3 linked regions of the Rattus norvegicus genome follow. The protein of the gene in region 1 interacts with the protein of each later gene in a pairwise test. Links are inferred from orthologs where the notes say so. Each region holds a gene or a part of one and is shown in the gene's direction. Other genes may lie near its edges. The genes, in order: Eif4a3, Ccdc174 and Pdcd4.

Region 1 (11,087 bases):
CAGGACACTGTATATTTAATAAATCTTAATACCCACAGAGGCCAGGCGTGGTGGCACAGGCCTGTGGTTCCTGGTACTCAGGAGGCAGAGTGAGGAGGATCGTGAATTCCACACCAACGTAGGCTACGAGAGTGGCGGTGGGGGTTGGAGGGAGCCTTCTTGCCTGCACAAGAGAGTGTGCTAAGTGTGGCAGTGTGACATGGGCACTGGCTTCTGCTGTCCTGCAGGGTTATGGAGTTGACACTGGAGTGCCAGTGGGTTAGGGTTAGGGTTAGGGCTAGGGTTAGGGGTAGAGGGTTAGGGTTGGGGGTTAGGGTTAGGGTTAGGGGTTAGGGTTAGGGTTAGGGTTAGGGGTTAGGGTTAGGGTTAGGGTTCGGGGTAGGATTTCATGTGTTTAGGGTTAGGGTTAGGGTTAAGGGTTAGGGGTTAAAGTTATGGTTATGGTTATGGGTTAGGGGTTAAAGTTAGGGTTTCATGTGGTTGGGTTGACTATGCGGGGCTTTCAGGTGGCAGCTCCAAGGAGCAGCGGACAGTGACCCACTCTTCCCCTTGCTCCGTGGACTTGACTTCCTGCCTTGCCACACTTGCTGCACTGGCACCCAGTGGTGGGCAAGGAGTCGGGTGCCACCACACCCTGCCTGATTAGGCTTCTTCTGGCTGAGCGTTGAGAAACTGTTGTTGGCAATAGGTTGGGTAAAGTCCTGGAATTCTCGTGTCCGTGAGCAGTGAGCATGAAGAGGCACGGCTCTCGGTGTTTGTGACAGGCCAATCCTCTGTGTAACCCTGCCTGGACTCTTCTCCTACCTGCTGCTCTGGGGGCCCTGGTATGTCTGATCTTTCCTCTCCCAGGGAAGTCCACTTGGCCAGTTTGTCCACTCGTGCTAATATGGTGATTCCAAGGCCTACTCAAGCCTTTGTGGGTGGAGAACATTACAAAGTGTGCAATCTTGCCCAGAGTTGCCCTCTGTCTGACCTGGGGGTAGCTTCTGTTCCTTGTCTGTTCTGATCACCACCACCGTAAGCCATACTGTCAAGGTGCTAGCTGCTCTCAGCCTGCCTCGCCCACCTTGAACGTTGCTTCAGGGTGTCAGAAACAGTTTTCCTATTCCTGGAAATGACTCCCACTTGCCATCCTGAGGGTAACTATTGGGGATGTGCTCTGAGGCGTTCAGCGGCAAGAAGTTGGAGTTTCTGCTTTGTGTCTGTAGCTCCTCGAGTCCAAAGAGGTTTTCTTTTCATGGTTTCTGTCTTTCAGGCTTTTGTTGTATTTTGAGACAGGTTATTATGTGTGGTTCTGGCTGGCCTGGGACTCAGTAGTAAGCTGAGAATGGTCTTGAACTTGGAACTCCTGCCTCTGCCCGAAGCACCAGGGATCACAGGGTGCCCTGTGCCACCACACTAAGCATGCTTGGTCGTGTGTGTGTGTGTGTGTGTGTGTGTGTGTGTGTGTGTGCGCGCACGCGCGTGCTTTTGTGTTTGTGTGTGGGCTCCCTCACTCCCAAAGCCCAGGCTGGTCAGGAACTCCTCTTCCTCCTGTTTCAGTCTCCTGAGTGCCAGGGACTACAGGCATGTGCCATCACACCGGGCCTCTGTCTTTAAGGGCGGAGACTTAGGGGTCCCCTCTTTCCCGGGCATGGAGCAGTCCCTTGTGCCCCATTGAACTACTTATTTTCTATTCCCAAGCCTCAGTGAGATGAGCCTTCCTACATGAGGCAGGGGCATTTTAAGTGGAGATGTGAGAAGCCTGAGGCAGAGGGTTCGACCTGCCCAAGAGGTGGTGATGGTCTTGCTGTTTGACTCTGTGATCCTGGCAGAGTGGCTGTGAACTTTTCCTCACCAGGGGGCCTGTGACCTGGGGGAACAGATGGAAATTCCTACAGTCCTCCCACCCAGGCGGGGGACTGAACATCCTTCCATGTGGATCAACATCTGCTTCAGCGGGAACCAGGTGCCAGGCGAAGCTTTATTTCTTCACCCAGACAATATTCCCGCAACTGTTTTAATCTGCCATCACCCCACTTTCCACACCCCGTTTTCCCTCACCCTGCTTACCACACAGGGAAACTCTGTGCCAGCAGCTCCTGCTGCACCCCCTCACTTATTCCTAGCGCAAGGCTCCACAGTCCCCCGTCTTGTGACCCAGAAATTTTGGTAATCCTGACAGCCCCACCCAGCCTAGGCAACTATCAGCTGTGTAAACGTCCATCTGAAATTTCCACAGAATCAGACGGCAGGCACGGCCAACAGCCCTCTCTTCAGAGCTTCAGCATCTCCTTCCCATCTCTGTGCAGCTGGGTCCCCTTTCTCGGTCAAGGATCAGCAGCCGTTCGGGCCCTGCCCCATCTGGAGAGGACGCTGTGGTGATCCCGGTCTGGGAGCCCCCGAAGGTGCCGCAGCCCTTCTCACTTCTTGCTCACTCGCCTTGTCCGTGCTCACACTCACTGCCTCTTCCCTTCACACTCCTTCCCTGGGCGTGACTACGAACACCTCCTCTCAAGTCAGGCCACATTTCCCTCCTGCCACCAAGTGAAACCGGAACCTCAGTAACTCAGTCCACTTCGTCTGTTTCGTTTACATCACAGTAACTATACACAATTATCTCATTTGTTTGTGAGATAATTTTCGTGGGTCTTGCCTTTCTCTGGAATAGACACACAATGAAGGCAATTGATCCTTACCTCTAGCCCAGGACTGGAAATGTTTCCAGTACATAACTGGGGCAGGGCAGCTTACTGTGTACCTGTCTTTGTGTGTGGGACCCCAAGCCTGCAGAAGGCACCAGGAGTCCATGCAGCAAGTTGAAGTCATGGGGTGCTAGGCAGGGTACCTGGGCTCCTGCTAGGTGGGTTTGGGAAATGGTCATGGGTGGGAATGCTAGCAGGAAGCAATCCTTTGGGGACAACTCTTTGGATTCCCTCCTGTCTAATGTTGCCATCCTGACTCCTGGAGCTAGGTTGGCACAGATGGGCTCTTGAGCACACTTTAGCATTGTCCCATTCCCCCCAAATCCCACATGACCTTGCCATGTTCCTGTTCAGCTAGACTATGTCTGTATTCCTCCTCCTCCCCCTGTATGTGAATAGTGAGCAAGCTGGCAGCTGGTTACTTACATTAAGGAGACTGGGAAGCTGACTAGATATACCCATGCCTTTTAAATTAAGCACACCCCCAAATACAAGTGTGTAGTCAATACGATCGATGCTAACGGGAGAGGGTACCGAGACCAAAAATTGTGGGTCTAATCATCTTTGTCACCGGAGACTTCTTCCCTTGAGAGGCCAAGGTGTCTGGGGCTCCAGAGCCCAGGTACTTATAAGCAGGATAAAGCCATTGGAATATAAACTCGAGTTGGACCAATTGTTCCCTTGCTGAAAAAGTAGACTGAGCCTATCTTTCCGTCCGTAAAATAGGTAAGGAAAGACATTCACCAGCACCCTCTGTTTCTAATGGTGGTTGAGATTTATAAGAATCAAATTAGCTGGGTGTGGTGCCACACAACTTTGATCCCAGTACTCTGGAGGCAGAGGCAGGAAGGTCTCTGTGAGTTCAGGGCTGACTGGGTCTACAAAGTGAGTTTCACAGAGAAACTGTGTCTCAAAAAAATTAATCTGTCACTTTAAGCACTGGAATTGTAGATTGCCAAACAGGGCTGTCAGTTGCATGCCTGGGTGTATGTGCACATGCATACAGGTGGTTTTTGAGGTCATAAGAGGGCATCAGGTCCCCTGGAACTGGTTGTAAGTTATGTGAAAGGGGTGCTGGGAACTGAATCTGGGTTCTCTGCAAGACCAGTAAGTGCCCTTAACCACTGAGGCAGCTCTCCAGCCCTTACTGTAGTTCATTTTTATAAAGATATGTCTTCACCTATGCCATCCTGCCTCAAACCTTGGGTGTTTCTGCCTCGGCCACCCAAGTGCTGGGGTCACAGGGTATACACTACCACCTTAGTCTAGATTGTTGCTTTTAAGTAGATACTTTTGCATAAAATACAATGTAACCAAGTTGATCAGATACTTTGAACAGGCAAGTGACAAAGGCATACTATTCATAACTGATTGGATTATAGCTGCTTGCTGATGATAAAGAGAACCAGGGTCTTCAAATTACTTGGGTACTGTAAGAAACTATAGCAAGCCGGGAAGATGGCTCATGGGTTAAGGGAGGGCTGGCTATGCAAGCTTGATGACCTGAGTGAGTTTGATCCTGGAACCCATATAAAGGTAGGAGGGAAGAACATGCTACACAACTGTCCCCCGAACTCCACACCTGCTCTGTAGCATGGGCCTGCCCACTCGCATACACCATGCGAACACACACTAATACATGCGGATACACGCAGACACAATAAACTAAAAAAAGATATGTGAGCAGAGTGGTCCAATAAGAATACAATAACACCTTTCTCTAGTTGTTACATCTGATGAAGTAAAACAGTGAGATGAAACAGCGTTTTAAACAGTAACCACAAGCTATAATTACTCATTTCAACAGACAGTATGAAATGGAGACTTTACATTCTTTTCTTGGGATGTCATTAAAATCCCTGTGTCTTTTACAGCCAAGATTGCAAAACAACCCTTCGAGTCAGGCTTGCAAAAAAACAAAACAAAACAAAAAACGGCATGAGCACGTGGACTAAATCCTCATTGAGTGAGAAGGCATGAGAACTGGAACTTGGCCAACTCTATGCCTTTAGTGCTCTGATTAATACCACATGTATTATATGGTTTATCTGGTCTGGACAAATCCTGATACCAGAGCGGGAGCTGAGCTCTCAAAGAGAAGGCAGTAATAAAGAACTTGTTTTAACATGGGTACATTGCAACCCACAACTTCTCCATGAAAAGATCTGGTTGTAACTAAACTTATCGACATGAGTCTTTCACAGTAGCTTTTAAAGACTTGTTTGAGTATTTGTGTATTTGCGTGTGTGTACACACCACGAGTGTGGCCCCCACAGAGGCTGGAAGCACTGGATCGCCTGGAGCTGGAATATACAGGCTGCGTGAGTCACACGGTCTAAGTGGCTGGAACACAATCAAGGTTCTCTGGAAGAAGAGTAACAGCCCTTAACAGTTTAGTCATCTTTCCTCAAAAGCAGAAAAAAAGAAAGAGGCCACATGCAAATGAAGTTTTGCTAGAACTCGGGTTACGACTCGAAATTACAGGGGTCCTGGGATCCACTCTCACAAACAGAAAGACATGCCCCAAATAGCAAGGCCCTTTTGGAGCCTGCGTTGAAAATCAGGATCCTCCAGAGTGACTGGGGTCACCACGCCGGGTCAGAGGCTCTAAAGGATTCTCGGATGTGATGGCAGCTTGGGCGTCCCCTGCTCTCCCAGGCAAAAACATCTACCCACTCGGTCTCCACCGATTCCTCCCATCCACCACCCCGGGAGAGCAGCTTGATTCTCCCAGGTCGCCACGCTATGGTTGCCATGGCAACGCAGTCAGCAGCGCTGGAGCGCGGAGCCCACAGGACAGTGCCCTCTTCCTTTGCTCTGTACCTTCAGGGACACCTTGGCGTCACTCTTGCTCCTCCCTGAGACCCACATCCCTATCCCAAGTAGGCTGCAGACACCCAGAAGAGACAAGAGTATGCAGAGTCACGGACATCCAGAGACTGCCAGCCCAGTCCCTCGCCGAATCCCGCGGAGCACGGAATATCGCGAGGCTTGGAGCGCTTTGCCTCCCACCCCTCCTGACGCTCTTCCGCGGCGCTGTGTTTGCGTCACTTCCTCCCGACCGGGCCGGCGGCGCGAGCCTTGTTTCCGGTTCCCGCCGCAGCTCGCAGTTGTCTATTAGTGGGGTCGGGATCATGGCGGCCACGGCCACGATGGCGACGTCGGGCTCCGCGCGGAAGCGGCTGCTCAAAGAGGAGGACATGACCAAAGTGGAGTTCGAGACCAGCGAGGAGGTGGACGTGACCCCCACGTTCGACACCATGGGCCTTCGGGAGGACCTGCTGCGCGGCATCTACGCCTACGGTGGGGCGCGGGCCTCGGGGAAGGGGAGGTTGGGGGACGGGCCGCTTCAGACCGGGTGGGGAACGTGCGTCCGAGCTCCAGAGCTCGGGGTTCCCCGGTGCTGCAGTCAGCCAGGCTCCTCCAGTCGCTCGTGTAGCGGATAGCCATGTGTGTGTCCCTGTGAGGTGCCCCGAAGCTTTGATGGGGAAGTCGGGGCTCCAAATCTGGTGCGTTCGTGCCTTGTGGAGTTTAAAGCTTCCTAAGGAAGCGGGAAATACGAAGCAAGGGTGCTTCAAGCGGTGAGAATTGGGAAAACAAGAGAATGAGCGACTGGATAGAGTAGATAGATTGATAACGGTGAGTTAAAAGAGCCGAAAGAGAGCTCCCAGAGGCGTTCAGAATCCCCAGGGGAGAGGGAACAACTGGTCCTGGCTTCTTGAAGCCATTGCCTGACGAGTGCCAGGAACATAAGAAAGAAACCCCTCGTCATGTTTTAAAGGCATGAGTAAAGAATTTGAGATTCACTCCTAAATACAGCGGGGAGCCAGCCACCGCAGAGTTCTGAGCAGAATCGATAGGATCAGGCTTACCGTTTGAAAGTTTATTTTGGTGTCTGGATTTGGAGTTAGAAGAGGAGGCGGGGTGATGGCCGGACCATAGGAGAGATGGGGATGTTATTGTGGAGCTAAAGGATCTGCTGGCAGCAGATGCAGTGCATTCCTGGCTTTTTTGAGTGAATGGTGGGTCATGCTGTTGGTATTTGCTTAGGAGCATTTGAGGGAGGCCGAATGAACTCTTTTTGTTTCTGCTTTCTTTGTTGTTTTGCTTTTTGTTTTGTTTTGTTTTGTTTCTCCATGTACCCCTGGCTGTCCTGTAACTCTTAGTAGACCAAACTGGGCCTCTAACTCAGAGATCCCCTGCCTCTGCCTCCCAGATGCTGGGATTAAAGGTGTGCGTCACCAAGATGTTTAACAACATCTTTTCTTATAAATCCTATCTGCTTATTTGGAAAATACTTGTGTTTTCATTGTTTGTTTTGTTTTAAGACACAGTCTCTCTACCTAGTTCTGGCTGGTCTGGAACTCATTCTGTGAACCAGGTGGCCTGGAATTCACAGAGATCCCCCTGCTCAGCTTCTCCTGCTGGGATTAAGGGAGTGCACAGCCTTGTCCAGTCTTTCATACTGTTCTCCTTGCTAGTAGTGATGGCCCAGCAGGTGGGTGGTCCCTTGATGATGGGCCTTCGTGCAAACAGGAGAGCAGCACAGGGCGTCTCCCCATGCCTGTGCAGGCTCAGTACTCGGGAGACACCACCAGCTGGGGTTTGAGTGCTTGGTAGCAGGAAAGGGCAGCAACTGCAGTGCTTCTGGGTTTGTGCTTTTGCTTGTAGAGCGGGTTTGGTGTGGCTTAGACTGGCCTTGAACTCCTGATGCTCCTGCCTCTGCCCTCCAAGTGTTGGTGTAGTGGGTAGCATCTTGACAGGTAGTCCTGTAGGCTGGTCTGTGAAGATGTGCTCAGCTCTGCCTGTGTTGCCTGGGATTGGCAGGAAGGAGCAAGTGTGTGTTCCCCAGGTAGTTCATGCCGTCACAGTCCTGGGGAGTTACAGTGTTTCCTCTTTGCATTTCTAGGTTTTGAAAAACCTTCTGCGATCCAACAGCGTGCTATCAAGCAGATAATTAAAGGGAGAGATGTCATTGCACAGTAAGTTGTGGGCGCTGAGAGCGAGTTGGGTCCTCGGGGAGAGCTGTGGGGAGCTGAGCCTGCCTTATTTATTTATGCCGACTTGTTTTTGGATGTGTATTCTGGGTCCTATGGAGGTCATTGCACACACTACGCTGATGTAGCCCTAGGTCCTGAATGTAGATCTATGGATTTGTGTAAAGTACTTTTTCATTAGCTTTCTTTTCTTTTTCCTTTGAGACAGGGTTTCTCTGTAGACCAGGCTGGCCTCCAACTCAGAATTCTGGCTGCTATTTGGATTAAAGGTGCATGCTAGGTACAGAGCCCAGGGCCTTCTCTACTACTGAACTATAAATGACCAGTTATCCTTTACATCATACTTCAGACTTTAGGAGCTGGTGCATTAAAGGGAGAGGTCCCCTTTCTGCCTCCTTTGGGAAGTTCTTGTTGGCGTTGCAGTTTCTTAGTTCTGGTGTCCTGGTGTAGAAGCCCCACATCCATTCTGTCTGTAGCAGTTTGTCTCTCTGGGAGCTGTGGAGATCGCTCGCTCTGTTCCCAAGTTCAGTTCTTGGTACCCACACTGAGTGGCTCAGAGCTGCCTATAACTGCAGCCTCAGGTCCAGCATCCTCTTCCCGGCTTTGAAAGAAGTTTCACACATGTTCAGTCACACAGATAAGTAAAGGTGAAAAATAAGAATAAGAAGTGACCTTGTACTTTGGTCTCCCACTGTTGGAGTTAAGATGTTTGGGAGAGTGTGAGATTAATTCATGGAGTTTCTATGTCCTCCTTGTTCTCAGATAACTGCTGGTGTTTCTAAGCCTGCTCTAGCCTGGTGTTTTATTAACAAGCCGTAAAGCTTAAGCTGGCCAGGTTCTGAGACTCTCACCTGACTAGGCTGCTGACACCGGACACATGCCCTGTCACCTGCTGTCTGCTCTGGTCCATGTCTCTCCTCATGGTTTCTCTATACCTTCTCCCTGTGGTTTCCTCACTTCCTCCATTCCCCCTCCCCTCCTCTGGTGTCTGGGCACCCCTGCTTCTCTTCTGTTGAGCTAAACAATGAGCTCCTTCCTGAACCAGTCGGGAGGTGACGGAGTTTACAAAGCACTGAGATGGGTGATACTTCATGAACATAAGTCACCAAGCCTGGCCTGCACTCAGCTCTGCCTGCACAGAACCCAGCATCTGACTAATGCTAGGAACCTTTACAGTGCACAAACCCACCCTCCAACAGGGCAGGAGCAGGGGCTCCTAGTAAGAAGCTGCTGCACATGTCTGCAGCCAGGCCTTTGGAGGGAGCACTGCTGTGGGCTGGGGTCCCTAGAACAGGGGCAGTGTCAGATGCTCTTTCTCTGATAACTACCTTGTGCTTTCTTAAACAGGTCTCAGTCTGGCACAGGCAAGACGGCCACCTTCAGTATTTCAGTCCTTCAGTGCTTGGATATCCAGGTGATTTGCCACTCGCAGCAAATGCTCTTTAATGCCAATGCTGTGTGTACTGAGTGCAGGTTTTAGATGGGGTGTGGTTGACCTTCACAGGAGAGCCCTGACTGTCAGCGCTCTTGCTGGCCTTCAAATTTAGTGTCTCCTGAGGCTGGTTAGGAAAGAGCAGCGAGCTAACCCAAGCTAGTGTTTATAGTAGGTCCCAGTGCTTGTTAGCAAGCCGTGCGAGTGACACTGAGACTGATGGCTGACAGGCTCAGGGCAGGAAGCTGGACTTGGACAGATATCAGGTTCCCTCTCATCCAGAATCTAGTTTTTTTTTTTTTTTTTTTTTAATTTTTCAAAGAGGATTTGAAAGTAGAGATGGGACCGTTTGGGAAGAGATAGGGAAGGGGTAAGAGAATGAGAGTGACTGTGGACATGTCATAGGAAAACCTGTCCATTCCTCTGTACAATCTCATGACATTTCTTTTCTCTAACTCACTAGGTTCGAGAAACCCAAGCTTTGATATTGGCTCCAACAAGAGAGTTAGCAGTGCAGATTCAGAAGGTGAGACAGTCGGAGATGGTGTGCCAGGCTGGTGCCGCCCTGTGACAGTGCTGCTGTCCCCACGTGTGAGGCCCATCAATCCCTGAGCAGCAGTAGAGAGTGCCGCTGTGTTTGCACGTGTCGTTGTATGGAAGGGAGGTGATTTCTGTTTTGCTGGGGGTCCACACGGCGATGGAGCGGGTGAAGGTGCTGTGGCTCACACCTGAGTGCACCTCCCAGAATCCTTGTAAAGGTGGAGGGAACGCTGACCCCCGCTGTCCTCCCACCCACACTTTCCTTCTTCGTTTTTGGTTTTGACAACACAAGAAGCAGGAACCGAGCTGTGTGTGCCTGGCAACCTGTTGTCTGACTCGCTGGTGGTTCTTACCTGGTCTCTGCTCTCCTGGTGTAGCCATGGTCCTAGGAATGTGGCACAGCGGTACTTGGCTCTGCCGAAGTACACAAGGCCCTGGTTCCTTCCTCACAGGAAAATGAAGTTCATTTTAATCAAATAATGACTTTCCTTCTAGTCTTGGAGGGATATGTATTGGGATGTTAATACGGTATGATTATCAACTGTGATTTTTCCCACACTTGGTTTGCACCCCTTCAGTATCAGGAAACCCTAAATTGAATTTCCTTTTGACAGAGGAAAGAGCTTAAGTGAGTGAGTGGTAGGTGGTGTCTCCCATTAAAGTAGAGATGACCCTTGAGATGTGTCTGACTGCGGGCCTCTCATGGAAACCTATTTTGCTTCAGGGTCTGCTTGCTTTGGGGGATTACATGAACGTGCAGTGCCATGCCTGCATTGGTGGCACCAATGTCGGGGAGGACATCCGGAAGCTGGACTATGGGCAGCATGTTGTGGCGGGCACACCAGGACGAGTCTTTGGTGAGTGCTTCTCTTGTTGAGACCTGGGCTGTGGGTGGTGTTTATGAGGTGTGCTCAAAGGACGTGGCAGTTCAGTTGTATACACCACATGGTGGGACAGCTTCTGAGGGCTCTGGGGACCAGTGGGAGTGGCTAGCTCTTTCCTTAGACCCACATGTGATTCTTTCAAAATCTAATTGCCAGATATGATCCGCCGTAGAAGTTTAAGGACACGGGCAATCAAGATGTTGGTTTTGGATGAAGCTGATGAAATGTTGAACAAAGGTAAGGGGACCAGAATTTTCTAGTAACATACTGTTAGGTGTGTGTGACAGTCCTTACTTTTTGCAGAAGCAGTGTGTCTTGTGGGTTTTTTTTTTTTTTTAATTATTTATTGGTTTTATGAGTATGAGTACACTGTCGCTGTCTTCAGACACACCAGAAGAGGGCATCAGATCCCATCACAGATGGTTGTGAGCCACCATGTGGTTGCTGGGAATTGAACTCAGGACCTCTGGAAGAGCAGTCGTGCTCTTAACCGCTGAGCCATCTCTCCAGCCCGTCTTGTGGGGTTTTGAACCTGAAACTTTTATTGTAA
Region 2 (10,456 bases), on another chromosome or scaffold:
CTACTTGGTTGATTTCAGCTCTGAGTTTGATTATTTCCTGCCTTCTACTCCTCCTGGGTGTATTTGCTTCTTTTTGTTCTAGAGCTTTTAGGTGTGCTGTCAAGCTGCTGACATGCTCTTTCCTGTTTCTTTCTGCAGGCACTCAGCGCTATGAGTTTTCCTCTTAGCACAGCTTTCATTGTGTCCCATAAGTTTGGGTATGTTGTACCTTCATTTTCATTAAATTCTAAAAAGTTTTTAATTTCTTTCTTTATTTCTTCCTTGACCAGGTTATCATTGAGTAGAGCATTGTTCAATTTCCACGTATATGTGGGCATTCTTCCCTTATTGTTATTGAAGACCAGTTTTAGGCCGTGGTGGTCCGATAGCACGCATGGGATTATATCTATCTTTCTGTACCTGTTGAGGCCCGTTTTTTGACCAATTATATGGTCAATTTTGGAGAAAGTGCCATGAGGAGCTGAGAAGAAGGTATATCCTTTTGCTTTAGGATAGAATGTTCTATAAATATCTGTTAAGTCCATTTGGCTCATGACTTCTCTTAGTCTGTCGACATCACTGTTTAATTTGTTTCCATGATCTGTCCATTGATGAGAGTGGGGTGTTGAAATCTCCCACTATTATTGTGTGAGGTTCAATGTGTGTTTTGAGCTTTAGTAAGGTTTCTTTTACGTATGTAGGTGCCCTTGTATTTGTGGCATAGATATTTAGGATTGAGAGTTCATCTTGGTGGATTTTTCCTTTGATGAATATGAAGTGTCCTTCCTTATCTTTTTTGATGACTTTTAGTTGGAAATTGATTTTATTTGATATTAGAATGGCTACTCCAGCTTGCTTCTTCTGACCATTTGCTTGGAAAGTTGTTTTCCAGCCTTTCACTCTGAGGTAGTGTCTGTCTTTGTCTCTGAGGTGTGTTTCCTGTAGGCAGCAGAATGCAGGGTCCTCGTTGCGTATCCAGTTTGTTAATCTATGTCTTTTTATTGGGGAGTTGAGGCCATTGATATTGAGAGATATTAAGGAATAGTGATTATTGCTTCCCGTTATATTCATATTTGGATGTAAGGTTATGTTTGTGTGCTTTCATTCTCTTTGTTTTGTTGCCAAGACGATTAGTTTCTTGCTTCTTCTAGGGTATAGCTTGCCTCCTTATGTTGGGCTTTACCATTTATTATCCTTTGTAGTGCTGGATTTGTAGAAAGATATTGTGTAAATTTGGTTTTGTCATGGAATATCTTGGTTTCTCCATCAATGTTAATTGAGAGTTTTGCTGGATACAGTAACCTGGGCTGGCATTTGTGTTCTCTTAGGGTCTGTATGACATCAGTCCAGGATCTTCTGGCCTTCATAGTTTCTGGCGAGAAGTCTGGTGTGATTCTGATAGGTCTGCCTTTATATGTTACTTGACCTTTTTCCCTTACTGCTTTTAATATTCTATCTTAATTTTGTGAGTTTGGTCTTTTGACAATTATGTGACGGGAGGTGTTTCTTTTCTGGTCCAATCTATTTGGAGTTCTGTAGGCTTCTTGTATGTCTATGGGTATCTCTTTTTTTAGGTTAGGGAAGTTTTCTTCTATGATTTTGTTGAAGATATTTACTGGTCCTTTGAGCTGGGAGTCTTCACTCTCTTCTATACCTATTATCCTTAGGTTTGATCTTCTCATTGAGTCCTGGATTTCCTGTATGTTTTGGACCAGTAGCTTTTTCCGCTTTACATTATCCTTGACAGTTGAGTCAATGATCTCTATGGAATCTTCTGCTCCTGAGATTCTCTCTTCCATCTCTTGTATTCTGTTGATGAAGCTTGTATCTACAGCTCCTTGTCTCTTCTTTTGGTTTTCTATATCCAGGGCTGTTTCCCTGTGTTCTTTCTTGATTGCTTCTATTTCCATCCTCAATTCCTTCAACTGTTTGATTGTGTTTTCCTGGAATTCTTTCAGGGATTTTTGTGTCTCCTCTCTATGGGCTTCTGCTTGTTTATTTATGTTTTCCTGGAATTCTTTCAGTCATTTTTGCGATTCCTCTCTGTAGGCTTCTACTTGTTCTCTAAGGGAGTTCTTCACGACTTTCTTGAAGTCCTCCAGCATCATGATCAAAAATGATTTTGAAACTAGATCTTGCTTTTCTGGTGTGTTTGGATATTCCATGTTTGTTTTGATGGGAGAATTGGGCTCCGATGGTGCCATGTAGTCTTGGTTTCTGTTGCTTGGGTTCCTGCGCTTGCCTCTCGCCATCAGATTATCTCTAGTGTTACTTTGTTCTGCTCTTTCTGACAGTGGCTAGACTGTCCTATAAGCCTGTGTGTCAGGAGTGCTGTAGACCTGTTTTCCTCTCTTTCAGTCAGTTATGGGGACAGAGTGTTCTGCTTTCGGGCGTGTAGTTTTTCCTCTCTACAGGTCTTCAGCTGTTCCTGTGGGCCTGTGTCTTGAGTTCACCAGGCAGCTTTCTTGCAGCAGAAAATTTGGTCTTACCTGTGGTCCTGAGGCTCAAGTTCGCTCGTGGGGTGCTGCCCACGGGCTCTCTGCAGCGGCAGCAACCAGGAAGACCTGTGCCGCCCCTTCCGGGAGCTTCAGTGAACCAGGGTTCCAGATGGTCTTTGGCTTTTTCCTCTGGCGTCCGAGATGTGTGTGCAGGGAGCAGTCTCTTCTGGTTTCCCAGGCTTGTCTGCCTCTCTGAAGGTTTAGCTCTCCCTCCCACGGGATTTGGGTGCAGAGAACTGTTTATCCGGTCTCTTTCTTTCAGGTTCCGGAGGTGTCTCAGGCAGGGGTCCTGCCGCTCCTGGGCCCTCCCCCACGGGAGCCCAGAGGCCTTATACAGTTTCCTCTTGGGCCAGGGATGTGGGCAGGGGTGAGCAGTGTTGGTGGTCTCTTCCGCTCTGCAGCCTCAGGAGTGCCCACCTGATCAGGCGGTTGGGTCTCTCTCTCACCGGGTCTGGGAGCAGAGAGCTGCTGCGGGCCGGGATCCTCGGGTGTGGGACTTCCGGTAAACACAGAACGTGCCCGGTCCTAGAGGAATTCTGCTTCCGTGTGTTCCAAGCTCACCAGGCAGCTTTCTTGCAGCAGAAAAGTTGGTCTTACCTGTGGTCCCGAGGCTCAGGTTCGCTCGTGGGGTGCTGCCCAGGGGCTCTCTGCAGCGGCAGCAACCAGGAAGCTTGTTTGAATGATTCTAAGAGGGAGAAATCTTACAAATCCAATGGAAACAAGAAAATCTGCAGTAGTAATGTGATGGTCTGTTGGGTACCAGCCAGCTTGTTAGGAGCCATCAGCGCACAGGGGAGGAGTAGAGGGAGCCAGTTCTTCCACCTTCACAGAAGATCCCATTGGATGGAGGAGGAGAGCGTTACACCTAGGAGACAGTTTAACTGGGGTCGCCTTACACGCAGGGACAGCCATGCATGTGGGAAAGGGAAGGTTACACAGAATTATGGCCCCATTTAGGCCTTTGAGATTATGTGTCCATTTTTCCTTTCCTTTGTCCCTCTATTTTCAGTTTTATTTCTGTGATGTGCTTTTTATTTCTTTTAACTTCATGCAGTATTTTCCTCTATTGCTTTTATATTTTTGTGTATATGTTGGATGTGTGTGGCTATGTGTATGCTATTGTGTCTGAGTGCAGGTATGTTAATGCCACAGCATGGAAGTGGAGCGTGTGGTGGGCCTTCCCTTCCACATTGTTGAGACACAAGCTGGAGGGGTCTGTTCTGTCTCCCACCTTTCTGCCACAGGAGGACTGGGATTACAGATGTGCTGCAAACCAGGCTTTATATAGCTTACAGGGATTCGAACTCAGGTCTTCATGATTGAGCAATAAGTACTTACCCTCTGATTCATCTCTGATTCATCATTTTTAATCTTAGTTCTCTTCCTACATTTATCCAGTTAGGAAATCTTTATTTTATTTTTCTTTTTGATAACTCCTTGCTCTTTTTTTCTCTCTAGAATATTCTATTCCATTCCTCTTCTTTTTCTTTTAGTTTATTTAACTTTGCTCTCTCTATTTCTCCCCTTTCCTTGTCTCTCTCCTTTATTATGCTAACATTTTCCCACATCCTAAGTAATTTCGACTTCATGGCATATTTTGTTAGTAGTCGTATGATGTCATGTAATTGGTTTAAACATTTGTAATGCAATTCCCTTTTGTCATATCCCCCTGAAATAGAAATCAGTATTCAAAGTTGGAAAACAGTATAAGAGAATTTCTGCCAGTGCACATACCATTGGCAGGAGGCAGGGAAAGCAAGTATGCATTCAGGAAATTTCTAGAAGGAAGTGCTTTGACCTGGTAAGCTGGAGAAAAGGATCTGTAGGGGAGAGTGGTAAAAGCTGATCTTCCAAGGGAATGGGGTGGGGCTCAGCATAGTCTAGCCTGTCTAGCAATCAAGACACCAGTGGTGCTGGGCCATCATTTGCCTCTTCTTAGATAGTGTGGCTTGTTTGCACTGCAGGGAGTCCAGCATGGAAAAGTCAGTCATTCCTGAAGGTGGGAGCTGTGGCGACAGTGCTGCGCTCCAGAAGAGGAGCAAGGTGTTCATCTCCAGGATGTCTCACTGCTGTGTGCCTCTGCACCTCAGCTCTCAAAGAGCTCTTCCTTCTAGTGGCTTTGAAAACTGCTTTGCTTTATTCTTTTTCTTTTTCTTTTGATTCGAACTTTTATTGTTACTACTGAAACCCAGAGGCTGGAGAGATGGCTTAACAGTTAAGAGCACTTGCTGTGCTTACAGAGGACCAGAGTTTGGTTCTTAGCACTCCTCTTGGCAACTCACAACTGCCTGTAACTAACTCCAGCTGTAGGAGAACTGATGTTCTCTTTTGCCTTCTGAGGGTATCTGTACACCATTCACCCTTCTTCCCCATGCTTGTAGTTAAAAATAACATGAAAATCCAGTAACTCAGTCAAAAGGAGTATGTCTGAGGAAAATGGGTTTTGTCAGATCCAGCAGTCCCATCTCCTGATACTTATTACTGTACTTGTGTATCTGAGCTGGTGAAGTCTTAGAGCCTCAGCTGTCTCCACTGTTACACTGTAAAGGGGGATGATATCACCACTTGGTGATAGGGAGCCCAGTGTCTGTCCTAGCTGTCCCTGTCCTTAGGAAAAAAAACATGTTGAATCTATCCCTGAAGAGCCTGGCTTCAGATCTTACCTGAAAACAATGTCCACTTGTGAAAAGAACTCAGGGTGTGTGTGTGTGTGTGTGTGTGTGTGTGTGTGTGTGTGTTTATGTGTGTATGCAAGAGGGAGACAGGGCCTCACCAGGTAGCCCTGGAAGACCTGGAGCTCACTATGTATGTAGTTCACTATGTAGACCTCAAAGAGATCTATCTGTATCTGCCTCCCAAGTGCTGCAGTTAAAGGTGTGCACACCATGCCCCAGCTTAAGTGCACATTGTTTACCTGTGTTAGGAACTTTCAAGCACCTCTTTCCACCAGTGTGAGAGTTAAATGATGCAGCTCATAGGTTTAGAAAGGCCTGTTACACCACAGCAAGAAAGGTCCACTATCTGTTCTGTGTCTCTCGTATGTTGTTAGCTGAGGGTTGCTCTAAATTGAATGGGTGTGTTGTTACATGGACTTACTGCTCACACAGTGTGTTGATAACACAGCTGGAACCTCAAGGCTTTTTGGAATATTATGATTGGTGTTATGGATGGCTTATTTAGAGCTTCCTGTCAGGTGCTTGGTGGCTGTCTGTAAATTGTCCCAGATGCAGGCATTGACTGGCAAACAGTCAGACAGTGGGGCCCTTCTCAGTTCCAGCTATGATTTTCCTTTTTAATTTCAAGATCTGTAAATTGATTTTTGTGCCGTAGATGAGGAAGTGGAGGACATGTACCTTGTGGATTTCACACAGAAAATCATAGACAAGCGAAAAGAAATGGAGGTGCTTGGTGCCACTAGAGATTCCCGAATCAAAGAAGAGAGAGATGCTGCTGTTGCTGCTGCTAATGATGATGATGATGAAGAAGAGTTTTCTGAAAAAGACATACCTCCCCCTCAAGACCCCAGTGAGGAATGGTGGGTAGTGGGGATTAGATCGGAATGATCCTCTCAAATGCACATTGGCTTTTTGAGAAGTGTTTTGCTTGATCATTATCACAGCATTTTTTCTTATTCTGCCTGGGTTTTCTGTCTTCCAAAAACCTTCCCTTTAAACTGGGATGAGCTAGTGTATCAATTATAGAAATGGGCACCAGTGGAGAGGTAACATCAGGGACTGCAGGTAAGAACTGAGCATCTCTCTGTTGGGCCTGATGTGGTGCCAGGCCCAAGGATCCTTGGCGCTCCATCCATATCCTGCTCCTCATTACCATGCTGCTGCTTTACTGTGCTGTGCTTCAGATGCCAGGTCCTGAAGTGGTTCCCTTCGAGTGACTGGCAGGGTAGGTACAGTAAGCTGTATCCTAGCTGCACTGTTTTCTGGTAACACCACAAATCCTCTCCATTTCCCTTAAATTCCCTTCTGGAAGCATGTGACTTCCATGGTGGGAGCATAAGCAGATACTTTGCAGAACTTCATCTTTGACCTTTTCCTGGATTTTACCTGTATGTACATAACAGATGGAGGAACGGAGCCACATGCAGATCAGAGTGAAAATCCCATCACAGTGTCTTCCATGTCACTCATTCAGCAGAGTTTGCCATTGCTTAGACATCACCGATGTCCTGACCATGTACTGGGCTGGCCTCTAAACTCTTGCTCTCTGCTCAGGACTGTTTGTGGTGTTTCTTAGCCTTTTAATTAGCCCCTTCGGACAGGCATTTATGCATAACGAGAACTCCCTGCTACTGAGGATGTCAGAGAACCTTCCTCTTCATATGGCTGAAGGTGTCCACTGGGGTCCATGCTTTCTTACTTTTAAACAACTTCCATCTAATGATACTGTTGTGGGTAGACATGTGGTGGTATGCTACATGGAATCACAGAAAAGAACTCAGCCTCTCTGTGCCTTTCTAGTCCTAAGTACTTGCTTCCTCATCTGAACTAATTTTTGGAGGGGGGTGGAATCATATCTTTTATTTACAGTTGACCCATTCTAGGCCTTATTACCAGCAAAACATTTGAGACAAACTTTTGCTTGTTTTTATAATCTGCCTAAATTGTGTTTTCTGCCATGCACCCTTCCTGCTTTCCTGAGAACAGTCTTTCCTCGCTTGCCCAGTTCCTCCAGGTTCGTGCTGGCTGGGACTGCTCAGTAAGCAGTTGCTGATGAGCTAGAGCCATTGCTGGCTCTGTGTTCCCTTTGTTGGCTTTGTGTGCTTCGAAGGCCTCTCCAGAACAGAATAGCTATGATTGCTTTTCAAGGCAGAAATCCCATCGCCTGTGAATGATCTAATGTCTTTTAATTATTTTCTTATTAATGCCTTTATGATTACAGGCAGTTTGCCAGCAATTTGAGGAATTTGGAGGGCAATTGAAGGTGTCACATGCCACCATATGGTGCAGTAAGACACTTCAAGCAGTTCCCACACTTTTTTTGTTTTTGAATTAAGCTTCAGAATTGTGACTACTTGTAAATCCTTTTGGTAATTAGATCCCAGGTGGTGCAAGATCTTTCTGCAAAAATACTGTAAATAATTACACAGACCATCTGGCTAGATGGTTTTCTCTCCCATTGAGTAAAAAAGACGGAAAGAAAAAAGAAAATGAAGACACTGTTTGTTTAGTTGTTTGATTTCTTGTGTCTAAAGGAGTAGATTCCCAAGCATTTGGTTTTAAAGTATGGGCTAACAAGGAAATCATCGTCACTTGAGAGAAAAGAAATTACAGGCACCAGCACTGCCAGCTGAGTCAGACCTTGAAGGGCTTTGCTTACTCGCAGCACAGCCTGTTAAGAACCTGTATTATTTAGTCCTTAACTGTGTGCCCTAAACTCTGCTCCAGACTCTGCGAGATTCTTGCTTGTGATAACAAATAGGAAAGTACATTATACTGTAGTGCAAAGGAAATGGTTTCTGTGAAAACCTGCCCATATTTTGTTGTTAGGAAGTCTCAGTGTTTTGTTTAACCTTGCTGTGTGACTGGTGTGCCCTGCCCCTACTGTCTGCTTTGGGGAAAGATGAAGAAGGATGTATATTGCTTGTCTTCCTCCTACTCACAGTGGGTCCAAAAGACACCATGACTTATTTTAAGAACTCTTAAGCTCACTGGAGAGAATGTGTCAGCTGGAAGCAGAGCAGTAAAAGGGGTGAGGCCTGAGTACACTGGGGAGGGAGCAGTGAAAATCTGGAGTACATAGTCTAGTGGCGAAAATGCACGCAAATTAAGAGAGTTTTTCCATGTCACCATTTCTGTATTGGTAATTTGTCTTTGAAATCAGAACCATGATCAATTCCTTCCTATAGTTTCTAAAACAGATTTAGCAGAGGGCACAACAAGCTTATTGAGTGCCAGCTGCTAATTGTTTTTTCCTGTGGTAGTGGGCCCTTAGCTTCCCGGTTCTTGGTCACAGGCTCTGTAATGATATTGCCAACTCCCTGACATAGGGATCTTCTGCTCATGGTACAAACTGTACAAACTGTCTTCCCAATGTCTAATTTTCAGGGTGGATTATGTGGACTCTTTGGGCCGATCCCGGCGCTGCATGAGAAAGGATTTACCAAGTCTATTGGAGATGGATAAAAATCTTCAGGGGAGACTGTAAGTTTAATATGTGGCCTTTGTCAGGAACACAGCCACAGGGATTGTCTTCTGGGAGAGGCTGCTGAATGACTACTTGTTGCTATAGTAAGACCATTAATAGTACGACGATATACCGAAGCCTGTAGCTTAACATACCCTACACAATAACCGTCTGTGCTCAGGGAGCAGCCTGAATGTCATTGTACTTTACTTATTGATTTTCTTTTTCTGAAACCCATTTTTTTTTTCAGGGACTGAGGAGAATTAGTAACATTATTCCCTGGGCTGGACTTGAACTAGGTTTAAGCTTTCCAGGCAGGCACTCTGTTCTGGTCATGTGCATTGTTACTGCTGAAAGGGATAAGTTGACTGTTGACTTGGAAGGATGTCTGATCTAGATTGCAAATACAGAATGAGCCCAAACCTAGCTAACAAATCAGCCTTTGTGAACAGAGGGTTTGAGAAGGTTCACTTGCTTTTATTCACTTCTTATTCATATGTCTTTGTATATTGAAGCAAAGGCCTCATGACAACATTTCTAATGAAACCAAAGAAATAACATACGTTTGAAAAGTATCTTGGTGATTAAAATTCCCGGTGGTCAGCCTTTATATGAGACATATTAGAGAAACTCCGCCTGTGTGAGCCCTTTGAGGTTGAGGCATCCTGTGGTAGACCTGGAATAAGCACACAGGGGCCACAGCATAAACCATGGCCATCCGCTGGACAAGAGGCATCCATGTCTTTAGACAAGGTGCCATTCAGAGAAGTTCAGTGGTTATCCTTCCTGGCTAAGCCACCTCCCATATGTCAGCCAGGACAAGGGTAGAAAGGAAAGTCACTTTTCTTGAACATTGAGGCAAGATCCCATCAGGCTCATGTGTAAGTCTGGGAATTGATTTAAAAATGATAAAATAAGATTATTTGAGATGGCTCATCAGGTTAAAGTACTTGCTGCTAAGCATAATGACCTGAGTTCAATCCTGGGAACCCACGTGGTAGAAGGGAAAAATAGATGCCTAAAGGTTGAAAGCAGTCTTCTGACTGACTTCTACATGTGTGCTGTGGCATATGTGCATATGTGCAAACATTGCATACATGCTCATGTGTATATATACACAGTGTGTAAATGAATTTTAAAAATATTAAAGCAGTTGTATTGACTTCTTAGTCAGAAACTTCTGTGGAAACTGTTGTCTTTCCAAATTGTGTTACTCAGCCATGATCCACCTAAGTGTTGCTGTCTCATGTTGCTCCCGTAAACATGGGCTTTTCTATCCCTCTACCAGTTTTGTTAGTCCTGCTAATGAAAAGACTTTGTTATCTGAAGACATGAGGAAAGAACTTCAGCGCCAACAATGGGAGGAAGAAGAAAGGGAGGCTTTGAAAAAACCAATGGGGCCCATCCACTATGAAGACATTCGGGAAAATGGTATTGTTGGGGTTGTTTGTTTGCAACTTTTAAAAATTCTTTTTAAAAATGCTAGACAGTGGCAGGCAGAAAGCCATGTTCTTACAGAGTAGTGCTCTTATGTGATCAGACTGTACTTTAGAGGGTGAAAGTATCCTTTGTCCACGGCCTGAGAAACTTGGGGACCTCTTCCTAACAGAAGGTTTGTTAGCCCAAGAAATTGTTCCCAGAGAGGAGAGGAGACAGCCAGGCCAAGGAGCCTGTCTATGTGTCTGTCACTTAGTAAATAGTAAAACAGTTTAGCTTTTGTGGTTTTGCTTTAAATTTGTGCAAATATTACCTTGTGTCTCTTTGGTTTGTTTGGGAACTTGTTGTACATGTGATTTAATAATTACAGAAATCAAAAAAAAATAATTACAGAAATCTAA
Region 3 (10,456 bases), on another chromosome or scaffold:
GATACCTGTTTTAGGGAGAAAGGATATAGATGTGGAGGGCCTTATGCTTGTTAAACTTGGTGAAGTTTATCACCTGTCTGCTCTCCACAGCACACAAAGGTCTCACATGCAGGTGTTAAACTCCTGGTGACCCATGTGTGTCCTCTAGTGCTGCGATTACGTGTGTGTGTGTGTGTGTGTGTGTATTTTAACCACATCTGCCTTTTATTCTTAAAGCAGGTTGTGCTTTTTTTTTAAGAATGAAAATTTTAGATTATAAAAGCCATATGCTGAATATAAATCACATAATAGAAAGGGTTACTTAAAAATCTCTTCCTGTTTCAGTGCCTCATAAAAAGACAATGTAATGGACGAGGAAATGAAATGACAGCTGCCTCTGGTTTTGGATAGTCTGTGATGGGAAAGATCAGTACATGAAATGTTCTGATTAGCCAAGACTGTTGTTTTTATTTTAGAGTAAATTTTAGTTTTTGTTAGAGATTTATCCAGTACTTATGTCCCCGTATGTGGATGTCAAATTAATTTTAAGACTGTATTAAATGTGGGCTTGGGAGATGGAATGTGGGTTAAGAGTGCATAATGCTCTTCCAGAGGACCTGAGTTCGGCTCCCAGAGTTCACATCTGTTGGCTCACAGCTCTCTGTAAGTCCAGCTCTGGGGGAATCCAGTGCCCTCTTCTGCCCTACACAGCTGTCTATTCACAATGTGGCTTATAATGTGGCACACAAACACATGCAGAAGCACGCACACACACGTGCACACATGCATGCATGTACACGCACATGGTAATGGGGGGAGAGAATCGTAAAAGATTTGGTGTGTATGTTTAAAAGATGTGTGTTATAAATGTTTCTTTAAACCTCACGTTTAAGGGATTCATTGGCACATGCTGAAATCTGATGTAATTTTTTGTTTTTCTTTTTGTCTCAGAAAAGCTTATGGAGAAATTGGGAGCTAAGTATTAATTAGACTATTTTTGAAGGGATTGAGGCTTTTTTTTTTTTTTTTTACATTTTATTCAAGTAAGTTGAATTTACCTTATTGTGTCAGTTTAGAAGATGTTGAACCTTTTTCTTTTCTTTTTTTTAAAACGTAGATTCTAAAGGAAGACTTCCATTTAGTAATTTGCGTATAATCAGTGCAAGTGAAATTAAGGAAAAATGGATGTAGAAAACGAGCAGATACTGAATGTGAACCCCACTGGTGAGTTGTATTCTAACCCTGCCTTGTGACCAACCTTGAAGCTGTTCCAAATGAGAGTAAAGCTCTTAAAGTACTTTCTTAGCCATGCTTAAGGTATCCTGGCTCTACAAAAAGGCAACGGAAACTAGTAAAAGTTTTGAGTACTTGCATTTAAAAGTGGTCAGCATTGAGGGTGGTACACTTAGCTGGGACAGTGTTGAGCGACGTTATGTTACAATAGTAAGGACTTCTACACTGAGATAATGTAGAAAGCTTTGAAAGAGTTTTTCAGTAAGGGCATGCTTTAGAACACCACTGTCTTCACTTTGGAGACTGTTGAAGATCGAAGGAGAGAGACAGACTAATGAAATGCTGTAACACACTATGTGTGTTTGTTTTGGATTACAGTGTTTTCTTATTAACATTTGTACTTTTTTGCTAAGAATCTAAAAGAATTGAATACATCTGTGCTTTTTAAATTGATTCAGTTTTCACTTTTTAGACTCACAAACTACAATAAAAGTCATATATGTCAACTTTACATCATAATAATAATTATCATAATTACAATTACACACCAGACAGTTTGGGTGATTTGCCTCTTATTTGAGTTACCCATCTGGGAAAATAAACTGCTAGAGTGGTAATGAAGCCAGTGGCCTTTCTGACTTAAAAATGTCTCCAGAGCAAAGCTGAGGCGCCATCTGCTTGTCAAAGACATCTGAGACAGGGGAGAGTGGTCTGTGGGGTGCTGTTGACAGGAAGTGCAGTCTGGTAATAGCCCCTTCTTTGAGGCTATGAGCAGGGAAAGTCATAAAAGAAGTAAAGCATTGATTGCTGCAATGGGTTGAATGATCATTGTATGACCATGTAGTGTTCTAGTGGCTGAAGTTGTTAGGATGGTTTTCATGGAGGGAATGAGATTTGGGTATATTTTGAAGAATTCTGATAGCAAATTAGTAACTAAATGACTTCTAAGCAAAAGACCATTTGGTCTCTTTTAGGTACTAATGTGCCAACCACTTTAGGTGCTAATGTACCAACATGTGTAGGCTGGGGACCTTTCAGAGATAGAAATTTAAGGAAATAGTTTTGGAGATAATGATTTTAAGAGCATTTCCTATATTGAAGGCAGTCAGTTCAACAGTTGTATTTGATTACAAGTCAAGTATATATTGCAGACATTAAGTCTCCTAAACATTTGTAATTGAGCAGGGAGAGTTTTGAAAATAGTTTAAATACCATCAGAACCTTGATTTCCTCATCTGTATGACGTGCTGAACTTGTACTGTCCAGTAGAAAAAGTATGTTAGACACTGTGCAGTTTATCTCCTTTGTCTCAAGATTCTTTATTACCTCTCTCTACTTGGTAACTCTTTGCTCACAAGTCTATAGTTTTTTTGTTCTTCATACTAACATAGATTTTTATTATCCAAGCAAGTGTAATAACTTTTTTTTAGAAAACCCTGTTAATTAAAATTCAGTACCTTCATTTACTTTCCTTGGTAATGGGACAAATAATCTTATCTGTCCTTTATTAGATCAAGTCATGTAAAATTGCCAATGTATGACTACTACTAGCCTACAGAATGTTAATTGCATGTGAAGTAACCAAATTAAATTGTACCTGACGGGGCTGAGAGATGACTCAGTAGTTAAGAGCACCGACTGCTCTTCCAGAGGTCCTGAGTTCAATTCCCAGCAACCACATGATGGCTCACAGCCATCTGTAATGGGGTCTGATGCCCTCTTCTGGTCTGTCTGAAGACAGTGACTGTGTGTACAAATACATAAAATAAATACATAAATCTTTAAAAAAAATTGTACCTGACATAACAGTGGATATTGGAAATACTTAGTTTGGTTTTCTTTTTTCTCTTTTAAGACCCTGACAATTTAAGTGACTCTCTCTTTTCTGGAGATGAAGAAAATGCTGGCACTGAGGAAATAAAGAATGAAATAAATGGAAATTGGATCTCCGCATCTACTATTAATGAAGCTAGAATTAATGCTAAAGCAAAAAGACGACTGCGGAAAAATTCATCCCGGGACTCTGGCCGAGGCGATTCAGTCAGTGATAATGGAAGTGAAGCAGTTAGAAGTGGAGTAGCTGTGCCCACCAGTCCAAAAGGAAGGTTGCTAGATAGGCGGTCCAGATCTGGGAAAGGAAGGGGGCTGCCAAAGAAAGGTTAGTGTGTGCTGTGCAAAGAAACAACTGGAAGAACCCCGGTTCCTGTGCTAGGACTCCCTTGTTGTAAACAGAGAAAGCATTAACAGTCCTAGGGCTTTATGAGTTGCATGAATCTTTATGGCAGAGCTGAAGGCCCATACCACTTTTTCTTTAGGTTGCTTACTTTTTCTTTGGAGTAAACTTTCTCTTTTCCTCTCAGCAAAATATAGTAGACATTGATGCTTTCAGTTATGAATTTTATACACATTATGAAGGTGGTCAGGTTTATTATAACTGTTACCAAATGAATCTATGTCTAATGTTAAAAATAGTGACTATGCATTTGGTAACATATACGTGGATCTGGGTCTGAGCTCTTTTTAGTTCTGCTGCTTGAGTGTTGGAGTAGATTGATTTATTTCACTGTAGTATCCAGTGCCTAGAATACTGATAGACATTTAAAATTCATTGGATGAGAGGCTTTCAGCCTCTGTCTATAGTAGGATTTTAGTAGAATTGGAGATTGGACTGGATTTTGAATGGTGTGAGCTTCAGTTACACATTTAAGACGCTGATAATTTAAATGGATCTTGTGATGAAGTGTTTGGAAAGAGGGGGGAACTGAAACATGGAGATTGAATTTCAGCATCTTTTATTAATGAACATAGAACTAATGCCAAGAAAAAATATGATTATGAAAAACATTTTTGTTGAGGTGAATAGGGAAAGATAAATATATCAGTATTCAGTGGTCTTTCAGAAATTATTTTGTGATTAGCTTACATAATCATATCAATCAAAGTGATCTGAAGTTATCTGGTTCTGGTCTGCTGTGTTGGCAAGGATTATAGTCCAGGTATAGAATGAAAACTTAAAAGGGGGGCAATGGCATTCTGAAGGCTTTTTAAAAAGTATTATTTTAGACAAATTTGGCCTTCTAAAAATGCCACAGTAAATTGATAATGGAAAAGTGAATTGCTCAGTTGAAGTTATAGTCTTTGTTCTATATGCAGAAGTAGAGAGAAACAGCTGTTACTGCTGTTGATTTTTTAAATAGCAATTATTTGTTAAAATACTGCTAATTTCTAAGTATAGTTTAATGTGCACTTTATGTGGAAGAATATTACATGTTAGCATGACGGTAGTCATTATAGATATCTGTGGAATGTTTTTTTTTTTTTTTAAATGTGTTGAGCTTTTAATGCCACATTTCCTGGCCCAAAATGTTTTTCTTCTTTATTCTTTTTTCTGGTTCCAAGAAATGCCAAAATTTAGAGCTGCACCACAGTGTCATGTTCTGTAAGGTCTGTGGTACAACTATTGCTCAGATTAAAAAAATATTTTAAAGATTTTGCCTTTGTAATTTCTAACTAAGTTATTTTGACTTAATGCTTTTAGAAATATAATCTATTATTGAAAAAGTGATCTTTATAGGAATTTCAAGTGTAATTCTCAACTGGAAAATAATTAGCATAAGAATTTTTACATTTGAAATTATTTCAGATTTCAGTTAATATTTGTGAACTATCAACTGAACTTTCAGGTGGTGCAGGAGGCAAGGGTGTCTGGGGCACACCTGGACAGGTATATGATGTGGAGGAGGTGGATGTGAAAGATCCAAACTATGATGATGACCAGGTATCAGCTATTTTTTTTAATATACTCAATGTTTGTAAGATTTCTTGATTTTCACTCATAAGATTGTCAAGTGATACATGGTTATGTATCAGTACTCCATAGCTATGAAGATAAAGACAACATGAATAGAAAAATCATATATACAGATTAGGAAAACCAGGTTTTTTGATAGTAAAGTATACATAATTTCCACTTGGTTTTGGGAGTCAGGAGGTCTTTATTGACTTGAGACTGGTGATAATAAAGGAGTATCATGGGCTGCAGGTATTGGGTTCCTTTTTAGAATCACTACTTAACATGAGTACTAGTGTATATGTTGTTCTGGGGACATGTGCATTTTCTCTCTCATGATAATACTTAATAAGGAATATCTTAATGCATCATTGTGAAGTTCTTTCTGTCTTTCTAATGGAAAAATTTTAAAAGTATAATTGGTGCAATGAATCCTACTGGTACTCTTCTTCCAGCTTCCCCAGTATTAACTCACAGGCTATCTTATTTAATCTATATCTGTTTACTTGAAAATGTCAGTGTGTGTGTGTTAGATTGTTTTCTTTGCACATTATTCTCATATGTGTACTTACCAGTTTTAACAGATGGATATGGAAAATTTCTAAGAGATTATAAAAATATTTAAAAGCTGTGGGATTGAAATACCATGTACTTTGCTAAATATTAGTCTTTTAAGTATATGCTGCAAATAATATTTTAAGTGACAAGTTGTAGGTAAATATTTTAGCTTTTCTGTAGAGTAGACACATGGGTTCATGATAAGCATTTTTTATCTTACTTAAGTTTCACTTGAACTGCTTTTTCTTAGATTTTCAGTCATTACAATATTGATCTCTTATTTTTATTATATTAATTTTGAAAGTTTCTGCTTTTGACAATGTTAGTACATATATAAGAATACTTAATCTTGTTAAAAAGTCAAATTTTAATGAAAGTATGTGCTGGGATGCCATGTTAAAGGTTTTGGGTCGAAAAGTTGGTTTTGCGAGGAATATAAAAGTTAACATAAAAGCTGAGGTGGCTTAGGTAAGGTGTTGCTATGCAAACAGGGGACCTGAGTTTGGATTTCTAGCACCTCTATAAATGCTGGACATACGGTGATCTCAGCATTGAGCTCAGCATTGAGAAGTGGAGACAAGTGGGCTCCAGGGCTTGCTAGATGGGGCTCCAGGTTTAGTGAGAGACTTTTTCCTCAGAAAATGAGGTGAAAGGGATGAGGAGATGGTTCAATAGGGAAAAGCACTTTATGTACAAATTGGGCAGCTTGAGTGTAGTCTCCACAGTCAGGAAACTGATAGGAAAAACCAGCTGTGGTGGATGCATCTGTCATCCAGTCCTTCAGTGAGGACATGGTAGGTGGAGGTAACCTTGACCTCTGGTCCCTGCACACCACATGCATGCATGGTACATGCTCCCCCCTCCATACCCAAGTAAGTCAGCATGAAATACAGAATTTGGGAGAAAAATTACACATTTGCTGCCGTGAGTGGGTTTGTTCTGTCTGGGGCCTGTTGACGCTTTGTGACAGCGTCGCACCCAGACTGATTACAGCAGGAAGCAATGTCCTTTTCTTGCCTTACTGGTGATCAGCTGGCGGAGCTATGAAACGATGGTTTCAGTTTATTCGAACATTTAATTTGTGATGCCCTTCTTTCAGGAGAACTGTGTTTATGAGACTGTGGTTCTGCCCCTGGATGAGACGGCGTTTGAGAAGACGTTAACACCCATCATACAGGAGTACTTTGAGCACGGAGATACGAACGAAGTCGCGGTAGGTTTTCAGGGGCAGGGGGTAAACACCATGGAGAGCGATTGGGGTTACTCTGGATAGAGCCATTGGGGTTACTCTGGATAAATTTATGTTCTTTTCTTTTGTAACAACAACAAATGTCAACCAAGAAAGGAACGTGGCTCAGTCACTGGGCGACACTCAGCAGCTTCAGAGGACACTGGTCCCAAGGGCAGCTTGCCCAGCCCTTGTGCGGGGCCTGTGCATGCCACTCCTCACTGTTATAAGTGTGCTGCCGCCTCCGTAGAGCTGGAGTCTGTGCTACAACAGAGAGCAGTTTGACCCGGTGCCTTCTTCTAGCCCTTCGATGGGCAGCTGTTCTTGAGTTGCTAGGGTACTGGGTTGTAGGCTCCCCTGTTGCAGGTAACAGTTGCTGTTCTGTTCTTCTGCTCCTTTCTATAAAAGACCCAAACCCTGCTGGGCCTTTGCTCAGGCTGCTTTTGCTATAGTGTCCAGCTACAGCCTTATCAACGTCTGGTAACTTCTAACAGGAAGAGACAGATTGTTTACCTGTACTACCGTGATCTTAGCCCGCTCAGAAGACATTTTAGCCTTTTCGTGCCAATCCCCCTTTCATTATCAATTTATACAAAGGATGGGCAGCTTAGGCAAGATGGGGTATGAAAATCTGCTACTATCCCAAGAGCTCCCCAAAGCCTCTAGCACCTTTCTGTTTGCAGACGTAGTTCATTGTAGGATTCTGACAGTAATGTTGACAGGTGTCATATGTGTCTTACCGTACAAGACCTTCGTATTGCCAAGGATTTCACACCTGTGCCTGGCCCTTGCCCCTGTGGGTTGATCTCCCATCTTCATTGAAGGGACTGGTATTGTCTCAAGATCCACAAGACCAAGTTCTGTAGAGTGACAAAAGTCAGGGAATAAGAAACAAAGACAGGAGGGGGAGGGGAAAGGAGAAGGGAAAAAGAAACAAGAGGGAGGGGGAAGGAATATTTGTCTGAGGAGGGGGAGTGGGATGATGACAACAACAGACAGGCTCTGAACAGTGGAGACAAATGTGATTCATAGCAGATGACAGTTTATAACGGTTAAAGGGAAACTCAGTGTAGGGTGAGCTGCTTAATTTTAATTAGGCATGTTAATTAGGTGAGGCAAAGGGGATTTTTGATTGCTGGACCTCAGTACTTTGATAGCTGGACCTTGGTTGTCAGCCTCAGGAGGAGGACGTGGCTGAGGGGACTCGACCTTGGTGGTTAGCCTTTGGAATGTAATCTAATGGTTTTTAATAAGGCAGAGAGAATGGGGGAGAAGGGCAAGGCCTGCAGGAGCCATGTTTGCTGTGCTTGGACTTCTAGGGTTCCTTCCCTCTTCCTTTAGATGCACCTGTAGGTCCTTTGGGTATACTTCTAGGTGTTCAGAAACACTCAGAAGTTAACATTATGTCATTTATATAACACATTTTCTAGAGGATGGGTGGGACAAGGCAACACCCTAACGTACCAACCCATGACAGAGGGAGGCTACAAAGGTAACATTGGTGAAGCACTCTGAAAGTCTGTTTAACCTGTTCTGAGCAAGCGTCAGGTGAGTGCAGAGGTTCACAACTAAGATGTTCTAAAGTGTAACGTAAGCAGGGCCGAATACGGAGAGGCTCCATGCATTTGTAGCAGTTCCTTCCTCCCCAGATCATAGTTGGGTACCAAGCACGTGGATGGGAGGCATTAACTTCATTAGCTCTCTGTAATCCTCAGTCATTCTCTCTGAGCCATTAAGTTTCCGATCCCGGGGCTCTTCCACAGTCTTCCTACATTTCTCCAAACCTGACAAACTCAGTAGCCTGACTCAGTCTGCTCAGACCTGCTCATGGCCAAAGGTGAATGTGGCTCTGCTCTCTCCCGCTGTACCTAATGGCTCCCTAGGTCAGAGTGGCCCTTGGTTCATGGTGGCTGCAGCTTCTCCATTCATACTGGGCTGTTGGAATTCCTGGCTGGGCAAACCATCTCCACTGCTAGCATAACCTTTTGCTGGAGGGAAATATACCCTTCATAGTCTCGGGGGATAATTCCACCCTTGGGGCAGGCTTGATCGTCTTCACTGTGCCGATCTATTCTGGGTGTCTTCCAGAAGCCCTTTAGCACACAGATGGCTTTCTTTGTCAGTCTTTTCCTTGGGAACTCCAGTGAGACCCAAATCCCACCACATCTGTCTCTGAATAACCCAGGCATCTCTTTATCTGCTGTGTCTTTTTCTTACCTCCTCTAGGGCTCTCACATTACAGACTCTCTACATCTTGCTCTAAGTCACTGAGATCTGTCAAATCCCCTCCTACTTTATAAAGATCTTACCCCACCAAAGGGCTCAGAAAAGCCACTAAAGCTCCACACTAGCCATGAGGTCCCTGCTGGATCAACCTTTCCTTTGCCTTCTCTGTGAACGCAGTTCTACCTGACCCAGTGAACCAGGTTCAAACACTGCTCCTCTTCCTCCTAGTTCCCTCAATAGCACCTGCCCCTCCTTTTTGGTCCTCCAGTTCCTGATGTTTATGGGGACTTCAGACAGAGATGACCAAGTGTTCTTCATGGCTTTCATAAGCCAATCCACCAAAGACTATGTCCATCACACTGCCTCAGGCCATGCAGCCTTTGCCTTAAGGAGGGATGGGAAGTTACATTACTCAGTTTTTCTGTCTCCACAGCAGTCAGATGGATCCCATCCACCCGTGTCCCACAGCCTCACAAGCCAGGCTAAAACAGGCTCTTTTGCTACTTGTTTAAACTTCCCTAATTTCAGCACTTTTAGTGCTGAGTATCTCTTGACCACTCTAGTTTCTTGCATGGGACCATATTCTGGATCATAGATTTTCCCTTTTATTCCATTAAAGGTTGGACCTCTATAGTATCTTGTATTGCTTTTACCATGATCTTCCTCACGTTGACTCTTCCTGTGGATTCCAAGGTCTCGGATCCCAGGCTGGGCTTCTGAGCATGGGTCTAACTTGCACTCTCTTTTCCTTGTGGCCCCCAACCCTTAAGAAGTCACCTCATCTCATTCTCTTGGTTATATCTGATTTGCCAGATTAGATGCTAACACGCAGGATGCTGCCACATCTCTTGTCTTGTTGCAATTGCTTATTTTTACACAAACAGGTTCCTGTTTGGCAGCCATCTTAGCCTTGAATGGTAACCTCTGCTGCTGCTTGCTTACAGTCCCCACCCTTGTGTGCTAATCTTAAAGACTTCAACTTTTTCTCTAAGATTCCTTCAAGATTCCTAATGCTGTGACCCTTTAATGAAGTTCTTCATAATAGGGTAATGCCCCAACTATAAAATTATTTCATTGCTACTTGTACTGTTATGAATCATAATGTAAATATTTGATATGAGGGATATATATGACCCCAAACAGGTCATGACCCACAGGTTGACAACCAGTGCTAAACTTTTAACTGTTTTCAGAGCATCTCCATATCCACGAGAGGAGCCCACTTCTCAGGCAGGCATGCCACTCACACTGTAGAGACCGAGATTGCCATCTGGGGCTCTTCCCACAGATACTGCTACTCTTGATGGCTCAGTCCTAGTTGCATGTCTCGTAACAAGAACTGTGCAACTTCTAGCACCCAACTGTAGTACAAAAGCACACTAACACACTCAATAAAGGAAAGGAAGATTGTATTAGAGATCACTGACAAGGACACCACTTAC

What was found.
Region 2: the proteins of Eif4a3 (region 1) and Ccdc174 interact in binary tests that used the Homo sapiens proteins (3 or more experiments, as listed by UniProt). The two-hybrid records come from large-scale screens. The link is inferred for Rattus norvegicus from reciprocal best matches to the Homo sapiens genes EIF4A3 and CCDC174.
Region 3: the proteins of Eif4a3 (region 1) and Pdcd4 interact in binary tests that used the Homo sapiens proteins (3 or more experiments, as listed by UniProt). The two-hybrid records come from large-scale screens. The link is inferred for Rattus norvegicus from reciprocal best matches to the Homo sapiens genes EIF4A3 and PDCD4.

Annotation. Positions count from the first base shown.
Region 1 is NC_086028.1:105,052,233-105,063,319, reverse strand, and holds the start of Eif4a3 (eukaryotic initiation factor 4A-III), read left to right. Parts: upstream 1-5,758; 5' UTR 5,759-5,818; coding exon 5,819-5,987; intron 5,988-7,593; coding exon 7,594-7,666; intron 7,667-9,028; coding exon 9,029-9,095; intron 9,096-9,576; coding exon 9,577-9,639; intron 9,640-10,377; coding exon 10,378-10,510; intron 10,511-10,693; coding exon 10,694-10,774; intron 10,775-11,087. UniProt on the Homo sapiens protein: ATP-dependent RNA helicase. Involved in pre-mRNA splicing as component of the spliceosome. Core component of the splicing-dependent multiprotein exon junction complex (EJC) deposited at splice junctions on mRNAs.
Region 2 is NC_086022.1:125,959,298-125,969,753, forward strand, and holds part of Ccdc174 (coiled-coil domain-containing protein 174), read left to right. Parts: intron 1-5,807; coding exon 5,808-6,012; intron 6,013-8,539; coding exon 8,540-8,635; intron 8,636-9,906; coding exon 9,907-10,049; intron 10,050-10,456. UniProt on the Homo sapiens protein: Probably involved in neuronal development.
Region 3 is NC_086019.1:262,929,233-262,939,688, forward strand, and holds part of Pdcd4 (programmed cell death protein 4), read left to right. Parts: intron 1-596; exon of another isoform or gene 597-642; intron 643-1,096; 5' UTR 1,097-1,160; coding exon 1,161-1,203; intron 1,204-3,067; coding exon 3,068-3,370; intron 3,371-4,895; coding exon 4,896-4,990; intron 4,991-6,659; coding exon 6,660-6,773; intron 6,774-10,456. UniProt on the Homo sapiens protein: Inhibits translation initiation and cap-dependent translation. May excert its function by hindering the interaction between EIF4A1 and EIF4G. Inhibits the helicase activity of EIF4A. Modulates the activation of JUN kinase.